Macaca fascicularis: one gene and its partners. The protein of the gene in region 1 purifies or fractionates together with the protein of each later gene. This does not show direct contact. Links are inferred from orthologs where the notes say so. Each region holds a gene or a part of one and is shown in the gene's direction. Other genes may lie near its edges. The genes, in order: CASP8, FASLG and NLRC4.

Region 1 (3,652 bases):
AGCCAGGGGGCATTTCTGAGACCAAAGAGAGGGGGTATTTTGGTAAAAGCAACCTGGATTCTCACTTTTTGACCAGAAGAAGAAAGTTGTCAGCACGAGTGTTACAGATGTGATTCCTCTATACTGAAGTGCTGCTCATGTTAATTACCGGGAGCAAGGCGGAGTCAGGGGCCGGGAGAAGGAGGCTGGTTGTGCAGATGCAGCCCAGCCTGAGACCCGGCAGAGCTGGGAAAGACAGCGGTGAGTCTGAGGCATTTCCTCCACTTCCGCAGTCCCCGAAACGACCTGGGACCTGGAACTCTGTGTGTATATTGTGTTTGTGTGTGGTGTGTCTGTGTTTTGTGTCTCTGTGTGTTGTGTGTCTCTGTGTGTGTTTTGCATGTCTGTGTGTTGTATGTGCATCTCTGTGTCTGTGCGTGCCTTTCTCTGTGTATAGTGTGTGTCTGTATTTGTGTGTGATATGTGTATCTCTGTGTGTCTCTGTATAAGTGGTATGTGTGTCTGTGTATCTCTGTGTCTGTGTGTGTGTTCTCTTGTGGTATGTGTCTGTGTGTGTGTTGTGTAGTGTGTATTGTATTTATGCCTCTATGTGTGTATCACTAAGTATAGTCTGTGTGTGTTGTGTGTATCTGTGTGTGTGTGTGTATGTGCATGTGTGTATGTATGTGTCTGTGTGTCTGTATGTACTCAGGTCTGGAGAGGCAATGCTGGGGGTGAGGCCATCCCCAGGGCATCACCATGGTGACTGGGCTGCTCAGGCTGTTTTACAGTCCTCAAGTAATGCATTCACAGGAGATTTGAGCACAGGGCCTGGGGACTGGGTGACATCTGACATGGCTTCTCCTTTATCCTCTCATTTCTGTCTTTCTGGGCCAGAAAACATGGAATCGCTTCCCTAGTAGCCTGCTGGCTGTGAGAGACCAGCAGAAGCTGTCAGAAACTTGGGAAGCAAGGGCAGGTCCTTGGTTGGAGAAAGTGGAAGTTAAAAAAAAAAAAAAATCTAATCTAAAAACCAGTAGGGCTCAATCCAGATTCCCAACTTTATTTCTCTTCCTCTTAGAACCTGCTGGATATTTTCGTAGAGATGGAGAAGAGGGTCATCCTGGGAGAAGGCAAGTTGGACATCCTGAAGAGAGTCTGTGCCCAAGTCAACAAGAGCCTGCTGAAGATAATCAATGACTATGAAGAATTCAGCAGAGGTAGAAACGACCTGACAGCCGGGAATTGGCAAAACCTACTCTAAAATTGAAACTGACAAATCTGTCCATGTCACAGTTGTTTCTAATCAAATATTGTTGGGGGTTTCCTCTTTTAATTCAGAGAGAACAAGGAGCCTTGAAGGAAGTCCTGAGGAAGGTTCAAATGGTAATGCTTGGAGATACATTTTCAAGATTTAGTTAATTTACTCTCTGGTACCTGCGTGTGTCCTCCCCACAGCCTTCTACCACATGCACGTCCTAATGTGCCTGCTCTACTTTTTTTTTTTTTTTTGAGACAGAGTCTTACTTTGTTGCCCAGGCTGGAGAGCAGTGGCACCATCTTGGCTCACTGCAACCTCCACCTCCTGGGTTCAAGCAATTCTCCTGCCTCAGCCTCCTGAGAAGCTGGAATTACAGGCGCGCACCACTACGCCCAGCTAATTTTGTGTTTTTATTAGAGATGGGGTTTCACCATGTTGGCCTGGCTGGTCTCAAACTCCTGACCTCAGGTGATCTGCCCGCCTTGGCCTCCCAAAGTGCTGGGATTACAGGCGTGAGCCACCGCGCTCGGCCGCACCTGCTCTCCTAAGACCTGCAGCCCAGGCTGGCAAGTTTGAAACAGGTGCAGAGTGAGTCAGTCATAAGTAATTTAACATCATTTTTTCTATGTGACTTTTTTTTTCTCCTTGATGTGCTGCTCATGTTATTCCTTGATGTGCTGCTCATGTTATGCACTGAGTAGCTGGATTTAAATTATGTTTCATAATTTCCTTGGTTAAGTCACTTCCTCTGTCAACACCTTCTACACTAAACAACTCCTTTCAACTTCCTTTCACTTTTTCTACCTGGGTAAGCGAGGCTGAATCAAGAGAGAGAACTCTCAATGATCTCCTCCGAAATTTTGATTAATCAAATATTCTTTTGTTGTTGTTGTTGTTTTGAGACAGTGTCTCACTTTGTCCCCCAGGCTGGAATGCAGTGGCGCAATCTTGGCTCACCACAGCCTCTACCTCCAGGACTCAAACGATCCTCTTGCCTCAACCCCCTGAGTAGCTGGGACCACACACAAGCCACCATGCCTGGCTAATTTTTGTATTCTTGTAGAGATGGGGTTTCGCTGTGTTGCCCAGGCTGGTCTTAAACTCCTGAACTCAAGCCATCCGGCTACCTGGGCCTCCCAAAGTGCTGGGACTATAGGCAATTAATAAAGTATTCTTTCTGATTAGAAAAATTATATATACTCATTGAAGATGATTTTAAATTCAGATAAATTTTTATAAGTCCAAGAACGCCATCGCTCCATTAATATTGGTTATATTTTTATTGTATTTTTACCTTGGCTCTTTGTGGTGTGTGTGTATAAAATACATTTTGGATCATTCAAATGTATTTTAAAGATTAATGTCCACGCAGGCTGTCCTTCCCTTTCCTCCCTGCCTGCTGAGCCCAAGCTTTACTCCTTAAGAATACTTTAAGGAGTAAAGTACTAAATCATTAATTCATCCTAAGCTAGTGGCTTTATTAATGAGTATCTCACAAATACCACAAAAATTCAACCTGGCCATGTGGAGCAATATAAATTATGGCATTTCTTGGTATGTTTTTCTCTTTGGCGAGGAGACAATTTGATCTTATATTTCCAGAAGCATGTTAATTGCCCTGCTTGCAGAATCTCTCCGGGTTGAAAGGAGATTATATTTATGGCCGTCTGTGAATTTTCATTTCATTTCATTTATTTATTTGAGACAGAGTCTCACTCTGTCGCCCAGGCTGGAGTGCAGTGGTGGTGTGATCTCAGCTCACTGCAACCTCCACCTCCCGAGTTCAAGTGATTCTCCTGCCTCAGCCTCCTGAGCAGCTGGGACTACAGGTGCCTACCACCATGCCCGGCTAATTTTTTTTTGTATTTTTAGTAGAGACAGGGTTTCACCATGTTGGCCAGGCTGGTCTCAAACTCCTGATCTCAAGTTATCTTCCCATCTTGGCCTCCCAAAGTGCTGGGATTACAGGCGTGAGCCACTGTGCCCAGCTTGAATTTTCATCTGAAAAAAGACCTTATGTTGTTCTATGTGCTACATATTTCATTACCAGTGTACCTTTCCTGCCATGTCTCATTCTACACCTGTCTCTTTGTTATTTGCAGGGGAGGAGTTGTGTGGGCTAATGACAATCTCGGACTCTCCAAGAGAACAGGATAGTGAATCACAGGTAGATGGAAACCTCCAAATCCTTTTTCTTTTTACATTACAGATTCTAGTTACTTAATTTGTTAGCTTTTTTTTTTTTTTTAAGCTGCCAGATAAACCGATAAGAGGCAAAAACTTACTGAAAATTTTGAGAACTGTAGAAAAAATTCACATAAAAACAGTTAAAAATATGACTTAATTTTTAAAACGTGACTCCTTCAGTTTTCTATGCATTCAAATTTTATTTTAAGACCCAAATGAAGATAC
Region 2 (3,673 bases), on another chromosome or scaffold:
GACTCATGCCTATAATCCCAGCTACTTAGGAGGCCAAGGCAAGAGGATTGCTTGAGCCCAGGAGTTTGAGGCTGCAGTTAACTATGATAGCACCACTCCACTCCAGCTTGGGTGACAGAGTGAGACTCTGTCTCTATTTAAATAAATACGTAAATAAATAAGCTGGGCAAACAATGAAAATGAAAACATTGTGAAATACAAAGCAGTTCTGTGGGTTCCACTGTTTGCAGCCTCTGATCTAATTTCTAAAGAGGGTGTAGCAGGTTTTTTAACCTGTAAATTATGGTGATTGGCAGGTCAGGGTAAATGGTAGTTGTGTGTGGGGAAGCGATGATGGCAACAGGTGTTTTCCTCCTGCAAAAACTAAAATGTGGGAGTGACTTCTCTGGCCATGGCTCCATGGTCTCTCCCCTCAGAGCCAATTTCAGTAAAATTTTTATAGTTTAAAAAATATGGTTCTGAACAATTTTTGTTAGAGGTATTTTGGTATTTTTAAATAGTTTTTTGGTCGTATACATGGTAGAATTCTTAACATTATACAATTATAATGTATAAAAAAGGATACAATTATAATTCATAAAATTATAGCCCCACTGGCCATTCTCCTGTAGCTGGGAGCAGTTCACGCCAACAGGGCTCTACCCCAATGCTGACCTGCTCTACAGGATCCCAGGAAGGTGAGCATAGCCTACCAACCTGTTTGGGTAGTACAGCGATAGCAACTGAGGCTTCCAAGGCTTTCGTCAGAAGATTGTGGGCGGAAACTTCCAGGGGTTTGCTCTGAGCTTCTTGAGGCTTCTCAGCTTCAGCTGCAAAGTGAGTGGGTGTTTCTTTGAGAAGCAGAATCAGAGAGAGACATAGAGAAAGAGAAAGACAGAGGTGTTTCCCTTAGCTATGGAAACTCTATAAGAGAGATCCAGCTTGCCTCCTCTTGAGCAGTCAGCAACAGGAGTCCTGTCCTTGACACCTCAGCCTCTACAGGATTGAGAAGTAAAACCGTTTGCTGGGGCTGGCCTGACTCACCGGCTGCCATGCAGCAGCCCTTCAATTACCCATATCCCCAGATCTACTGGGTGGACAGCAGTGCCAGCTCTCCCTGGGCCCCTCCAGGCACAGTTCTTCCCTGTCCAACCTCTGTGCCCAGAAGGCCTGGTCAAAGGAGGCCACCACCACCGCCGCCACCGCCGCCACTACCACCTCCACCGCCATCACCACTGCCTCCACTACCGCTGCCACCCTTGAAGAAGAGGGGAAACCACAGCACAGGCCTTTGTCTCCTTGTGATGTTTTTCATGGTTCTGGTTGCCTTGGTAGGATTGGGACTGGGGATGTTTCAGCTCTTCCACTTACAGAAAGAGCTGGCAGAACTCCGAGAGGTAAGCCTGCTGGCAGACTGCTGTGCCCTGGAGGCACCAGGCATAAGGGGGTGGAGGGCCCACTGCCTGGCTTGCAAAGTGCTTTTCAATCCTTTTTTTTTTTTCTTAGAAATGGGTTGTTCTAGTTATTCTATTCTATAGGCAGAGAAATGGAGGCTCATAGGAGTGAAGGGAATATTTTTTATTTTGTAAAGAATCAGAGCCCAACAGTTTTTCTTTCCTCAGTTGTCAACTCAGTCTGTTGAACCACTTACTGCCTCATACCTAGTGATTTAAGGAGTAAAAAACAAACAAAACTTTTAAGTTTTGCTTGGAAGTAAATTTGTTCAGATGACCAAACTAAATCTTGAAAATACTTAAAATACTGGTACGATTTCAAATCACAAAACTGAGGGACAGTGAAGCAAAATTGCTTGACCAAAGCCTGAGTCAGCAAAAGTTCTGAGGTATTTGGATTCTCTTTCCAGGGCTTGGTTTATTTGACGATTCTGTCTCTTTTGCTTAAATAATTTTATTTTTATTATGCATCTTTTTTCTTTCTCTTTTACTAGTCTACCAGCCAGAAGCATACAGCATCATCTTTGGAGAAGCAAATAGGTGAGTCCTTTTTCACATGTACATTGAGTTCCTAAAGGTGATCCTCAGCACTGAAATATGTTAATGGAATGCCTTATATTCTGTCCTACACTTTGGCTTATGTATACTATGAGAGGAATCCTGGCTAATTCGGAATCTCTGGTCAGTATGATTCCTTGAGCTGCTTTAAAAATGTGAAGTGAATTGAATTGCTCACAATCAATATAGCTGAGCACGGCACACAATTCAAAATCACTTCCGCTTGACTTTGGAAAGAGACACACATATACAACCGTGGACTTTTGCCCCCTGAGCAGTGGTTCCAGGCCTGTCCCCTTCCACAGACACCCTGGTCCTGGCACACATGCCAGTGGCTATGACTTCTGGGAAGAGAAGGCGAAGTGAAGGCAGAGACAGATGTTTCTGAGAAACGTCCTCTCCTCTTTTAAAGCCTCTAAAGAGATCACAGTGAAACTTTATTTATAAAATGTTTTATAGGATGTAAGCTTTTAAAATGTGGCTAATCAATTCCGTACATTAGAATGGTTTTTCTTGAAGTCACTGAGAAGCTGAAGGGAAGACTTCAGCCATCATTCAAAGGATGTTCAGCTTCAGAGGCAGTCATGAGGTACCCTTGATCACAAAGGAAAATCCTTTGTATGGGAGCTAGGGCAAGAAGACGATATGTTGGAACACTGATCTCGTGAAATTTCAGGGCATAGTTTTGCAAGCTCTGTACAGATGGATTTTACAATGTGCTTCACTAGCCTAAGATTCATTGAAATTTTAGATTTAGATTTACAATGAGATTCACTGAAGGTTTAGAGTTGGAAGGAAGCTTAGAATATCTAGTCCAGCCATTTCATTTTTTTGGAAGAGAAACAAAATGCCAGACAGATTAGGTGAATATGCCCAAGACCCCTAGTATGGAACTGGGGCTAGAAGGAACACAGGCTCTTGATGCCTTGTCACCTACAGGGCTTTCCGGTACTGGACTGGTGCCTCATGAAGTAGGGAAACTCCTGTCTCTCTGTAGTGAGCATGGAGTGAGAAATAGAGGAAAAGCAGGATACCTCTGCAAAGACTATAGATAGATCGCATCCTTAGAAACTCAGAATAAAGAAGAAGGCAGCACTGGCCATCTATTAAGTGAAGTAAGTTTCAGTTTCTCTGGATGTGGCTACTGCAGGCAACCCAGTCGCCTGTCTACTGTCCTAGACTGTTAAGTTCTTATAGGAGCCACTGTTGGGAAGCTCTGGCCCCTGAGTCTGTGTCCTAATCCTTAAATGTTAGAAAGTCCATATGTACACAAGCAGAGTGGAAATATTTGCTAGAAAAATAAAGCCTCTGGAGGATGTCTCAAATAAGATCATTTTGAAAACCTGTGGAATGTGCCTGGTCTGATAGGTACCTAAGCATTCATCTTTTACCTCCTCTCTGGAGTCAATTTAGTGATTAAAAATCAAATGACCAGACGAGTCATGTCCATCTACCCCAGTAAGCAATTATCTTCTCTAGATCAACCCAGATGAACCAGAAATTGTTAAATTATCACAAGGAAATCAAATCAGTAACTTTACTAATAAGAAAAGAGATGCAAACTAAAAATAGGGAACACCAATTTTCATCAAATTAGTAAAGTTAACAAAAACCCAGACTGACAAAGATTTGAAAGAAAAGTGCTGTTTAAACATTAGTTTCAGCCAGTATACATGTAAATT
Region 3 (3,652 bases), on another chromosome or scaffold:
TTAGGTGTGACAGTGATATGTGATTATGGTTAAAAGAAAAAAAAAAGGAAAGAACTGATTCATACTGTCCATGATTTGCTTTAGAATAATACCGGGGGAATTAGGTCAGGATTAAGCAAGATTGCCCATGATTTAATGTTTTTGAAAAGTGACTTATTAGTATATATAGTTTCATTATATTCTTCTGCATAATGTTTGTATAAGCTTGAACACTTTCCATAAAAATAACCAAAAATTAAGTAGATTCTCATTGCAGATTGAGTAGGCTACAGAGCCACCAAACATAACGATCATTCCTTCCCCAACATCCCTTCGTTCTTCCTCAGTTTTGAGATCATCCAGTCCCTGAACTGCTCTTTGTTTCTTCCAGTTGACAGGCTGAACGTGCTAGAACAGCTCACTGCACTGATGCTGCCCTGGGGCTGTGATGTGCAAGGCAGCCTGACCAGCCTGTTGAAACATTTGGAGGAGGTCCCACAACTCGTCAAGCTTGGGTTGAAAAACTGGAGACTCACAGATACAGAGATTAGAATTTTAGGTAAGTACACACATACCGAGCCAAGATAAATGGATTTGGCCCTTAAAAAGTTCTTGAGTTGGCTTTGCTTATTTTGCCCCCTTATTTTATTTTGCTTCCTCTTTTTTTTTAAATATAAGTATGTCTAAGGAATTCATTCATGTTAGAGTAAGAAGACTTAAAACACCGGCCTTCCTTCAGGTTGTAAGCCCTTTACCTACAGAATTAAATGGAAAGCATTCACAGTATCCAGTAAGATGTATTATATTAGTCATAGTTCTTACTAGCCTTAACTTTCTGAAATTCAGCAACGCCCCTCCCTCCAATATCAGGAAATATTTTCAAGTTACTTATTGGGTATTCAACACTATATATAAAGGTGAATGTAGCTGTATCTAAATAGAGTCACCAAATATCTTTAAATAACTGTAATATTCTCCAGAAACAAATAGATCTATATAAATGACTGAAGGCACCACCAACCTCAGGCAGTTGATGAAAGAAGCCCTCATACTCTCTGCATTAGTTTTCAATCTGTGCATAACATATGGCCTCAAAACATAATGGCTTAAAACAATAACCATTATCTCACAGTTTCTGTGGTTCAGGAACTTGGGAGTTCAGCAGGTTAGCTCTGGCTTGACCTCTCTCATGAGAGGGGCTGCTGGAGGATGTCCTTCCAAGGTAACTTCTCACATGGTTGGCAAGTTAACACTGGCTGTTGGCTGGAGGCCTCACGTCCTCATCACTAGACCTCTTCACAGGCTGTGAGTGTCTGCACAACACGGCAGCCCACTCATTTCTGGTCACTTCTGACATATCCCACTGGTTGCACAAGTTATTCCAATCCAGCATATGGAAACATGAATACAAAGAGGTCAGGCTCATCAGGGTCAACTTGGAGGCTATCATACTAAAGCCAAGGACTTATGAAGACAGCCTCTATCACCTTCATTTCTCTTACAGATTGTCTAGAATGTGTTTAGTTTATGTAACATACAATTTATTAAACTTTTTTTTGTTTTTTGGTTTTTTTAGGCGGAGTCTCGCTCTGTCGCCCAGGCTGGAGTGCAGTGGTGCGATCTTGGCTCACTGCAAGCTCCGCCTCCTGGGTTCACGCCATTCTCCTGCCTCAGCCTCCTGAGTAGCTGGGACCACAAACGCCTGCCACCATGCCTGGCTAATTTTTTTTTTTTTTTTTTGTATTTTTAGTAGAGACGGGGTTTCACCGTGTTAGCCAGGATGGTCTCCATTTCCTGACCTCGTGATCCACCCGCCTCGGCTTCCCAAAGTGCTGGGATTACAGGTGTGAGCCACCGTGCCCGGCCACATTTAAACTGTTTTTAAGTGTAAAAGCTTTGTGGCATTAAGTACATTCATATTATTGTGCCACCGTCACAACATCCATCTCCAGAGCTTTTTCATCTTCCCCAACTAAAATTCTGTACCCATTAAACATTAACTCCCATCTGCTGCTCTTTTTAGAACCTTCTTTCCTGGAGATTCATACCTAAGTCCTTAGGCTGCCCGAGGGTTTGCCTTCCTAATGGTGCTTCAAGTTCTGGATCTTTCCTTCCTTTAATTCCTAACTTCACGTCCATCCACTCCCTCAACCCATTAACTCACATCATTCTGGTGTCATTCCTTCAGGCCCTTCCTCTATTTTAGGTTATACTAGAGTCAGGTGGCTTCTGTGACAGGCTAATTAGCTAGCTGATAAATAATCCCTCTTAGGTAACCTCATACCTTAAGTGAGTTGGAAAGGATGTGTCTTTTCCAAGAGGCCCTTGGAGAATATATAGATTTAGAATTCATGTTGGGGAGGCGTTTTTAGGTTGAGGTTTTTTAGCATCCTTTAAATCTTTAGGTAGCTGCCTACTTTGTCCACTCCCAAGGCTGGCCATTGAGACCAGAGAAGGAGATGGTGTGCTTAATGAAATAAACTGAGCTAGGCAATAATTTGTAATTTGTTATTTGTTGAGACAGAGTCTCGCTCTGTCTCCCAGGCGGGAGTGCAGTGGCTTGATCTTGGCTCACTGCAAGCTCTGCCTCCCCGGTTCAAGTGATTCTCCTGCCTCAGCCTAGTAGCTGGGATTACAGGCACGCTCCACCACCCGGCTGATTGTTGTATTTTTAGTAGAGATGGGCTTTTGCCATGATGGCCAGGCTGGTCTCAAACTCCTGACCTCAAGTGATCCACCAGCCTCGGCCTCCCAAAGTGCTGGGATTACAGGCAAGAGCCTCACCGGGCCCTCAGTTTTTTTAAAAAAAGAATTTGTGAACCGGGCATAGTAGCTTACACCTGTAATCCCTGTGCTTTGGGAGGCTGGGGTGGGAGGACTGCTTGCAGCCAGGGGCTCAAGAGCAGCCTGAGCAACACAGGCAGACCCCGTCTGTACAAAATACTTTTTTAAAAAATTAGGCCGGGCGCAGGGGCTCAAGCCTGTAATCCCAGCACTTTGGGAGCCCGCGGCGGGCGGATCACGAGGTCAGGAGATTAGGAACATCCTGGCTAACACGGTGAAACCCCGTCTCTACTAAATATACACAAAATTAGCCGGCCGTGGTGGCAGGCGCCCAGCTACTCCGGAGGCTGAGGCAGGAGAATGGCCTGAACCTGGGAGGCAGAGCTTGCAGTGAGCCGAGATGGCGCCACTGCACTCCAGCCTGGTCGACAGAGCGCGACTCTGTCTCAAAACAAACAAAAAAAATTAGCTGGGAGTGTTGGCACATGCCTGTAGTCCTAGCAATTTAGCAGACTGAGGAGGGAGACAATCCCTTAAGCCCAGGAGGTTAAGGTTGTTGTGAGCTATGCTCGTGCCACTGCACTCCAGCCTGGGTGACAAAGACCCTGTCTCTTAAAAAAAAAAAAAAGGCAATTCAGTAAGAAGATATAATCATTATATATACACACACACACATATTATACCCACACATATATATACACACATATACATGTATATACACACAGACTACACACACACACACACACACACACACACACACACACACACACACACATATATATGCCCCCAACACTGAAGAATCTACATATATAAAGCAAATATTGTTAGAGCTAAAGAGAGACATACAACCCAATACAACAATAGCTGGAGACTCAACACCCCATTTACA

What was found.
Region 2: the proteins of CASP8 (region 1) and FASLG purify together in Homo sapiens (co-immunoprecipitation; 8 studies listed by BioGRID and IntAct, with this or other methods). This does not show direct contact. The link is inferred for Macaca fascicularis from reciprocal best matches to the Homo sapiens genes CASP8 and FASLG.
Region 3: the proteins of CASP8 (region 1) and NLRC4 purify together in Homo sapiens (affinity purification with western blotting; 3 studies listed by BioGRID and IntAct, with this or other methods). This does not show direct contact. The link is inferred for Macaca fascicularis from reciprocal best matches to the Homo sapiens genes CASP8 and NLRC4.

Annotation. Positions count from the first base shown.
Region 1 is NC_088386.1:97,051,557-97,055,208, forward strand, and holds part of CASP8 (caspase-8), read left to right. Parts: intron 1-1,060; coding exon 1,061-1,199; intron 1,200-1,320; coding exon 1,321-1,365; intron 1,366-3,342; coding exon 3,343-3,407; intron 3,408-3,652. UniProt on the Homo sapiens protein: Thiol protease that plays a key role in programmed cell death by acting as a molecular switch for apoptosis, necroptosis and pyroptosis, and is required to prevent tissue damage during embryonic development and adulthood.
Region 2 is NC_088375.1:30,264,702-30,268,374, forward strand, and holds the start of FASLG (tumor necrosis factor ligand superfamily member 6), read left to right. Parts: upstream 1-811; 5' UTR 812-1,031; coding exon 1,032-1,376; intron 1,377-1,927; coding exon 1,928-1,973; intron 1,974-3,673. UniProt on the Homo sapiens protein: Cytokine that binds to TNFRSF6/FAS, a receptor that transduces the apoptotic signal into cells. Involved in cytotoxic T-cell-mediated apoptosis, natural killer cell-mediated apoptosis and in T-cell development.
Region 3 is NC_088387.1:89,939,806-89,943,457, forward strand, and holds part of NLRC4 (NLR family CARD domain-containing protein 4), read left to right. Parts: intron 1-370; coding exon 371-538; intron 539-3,652.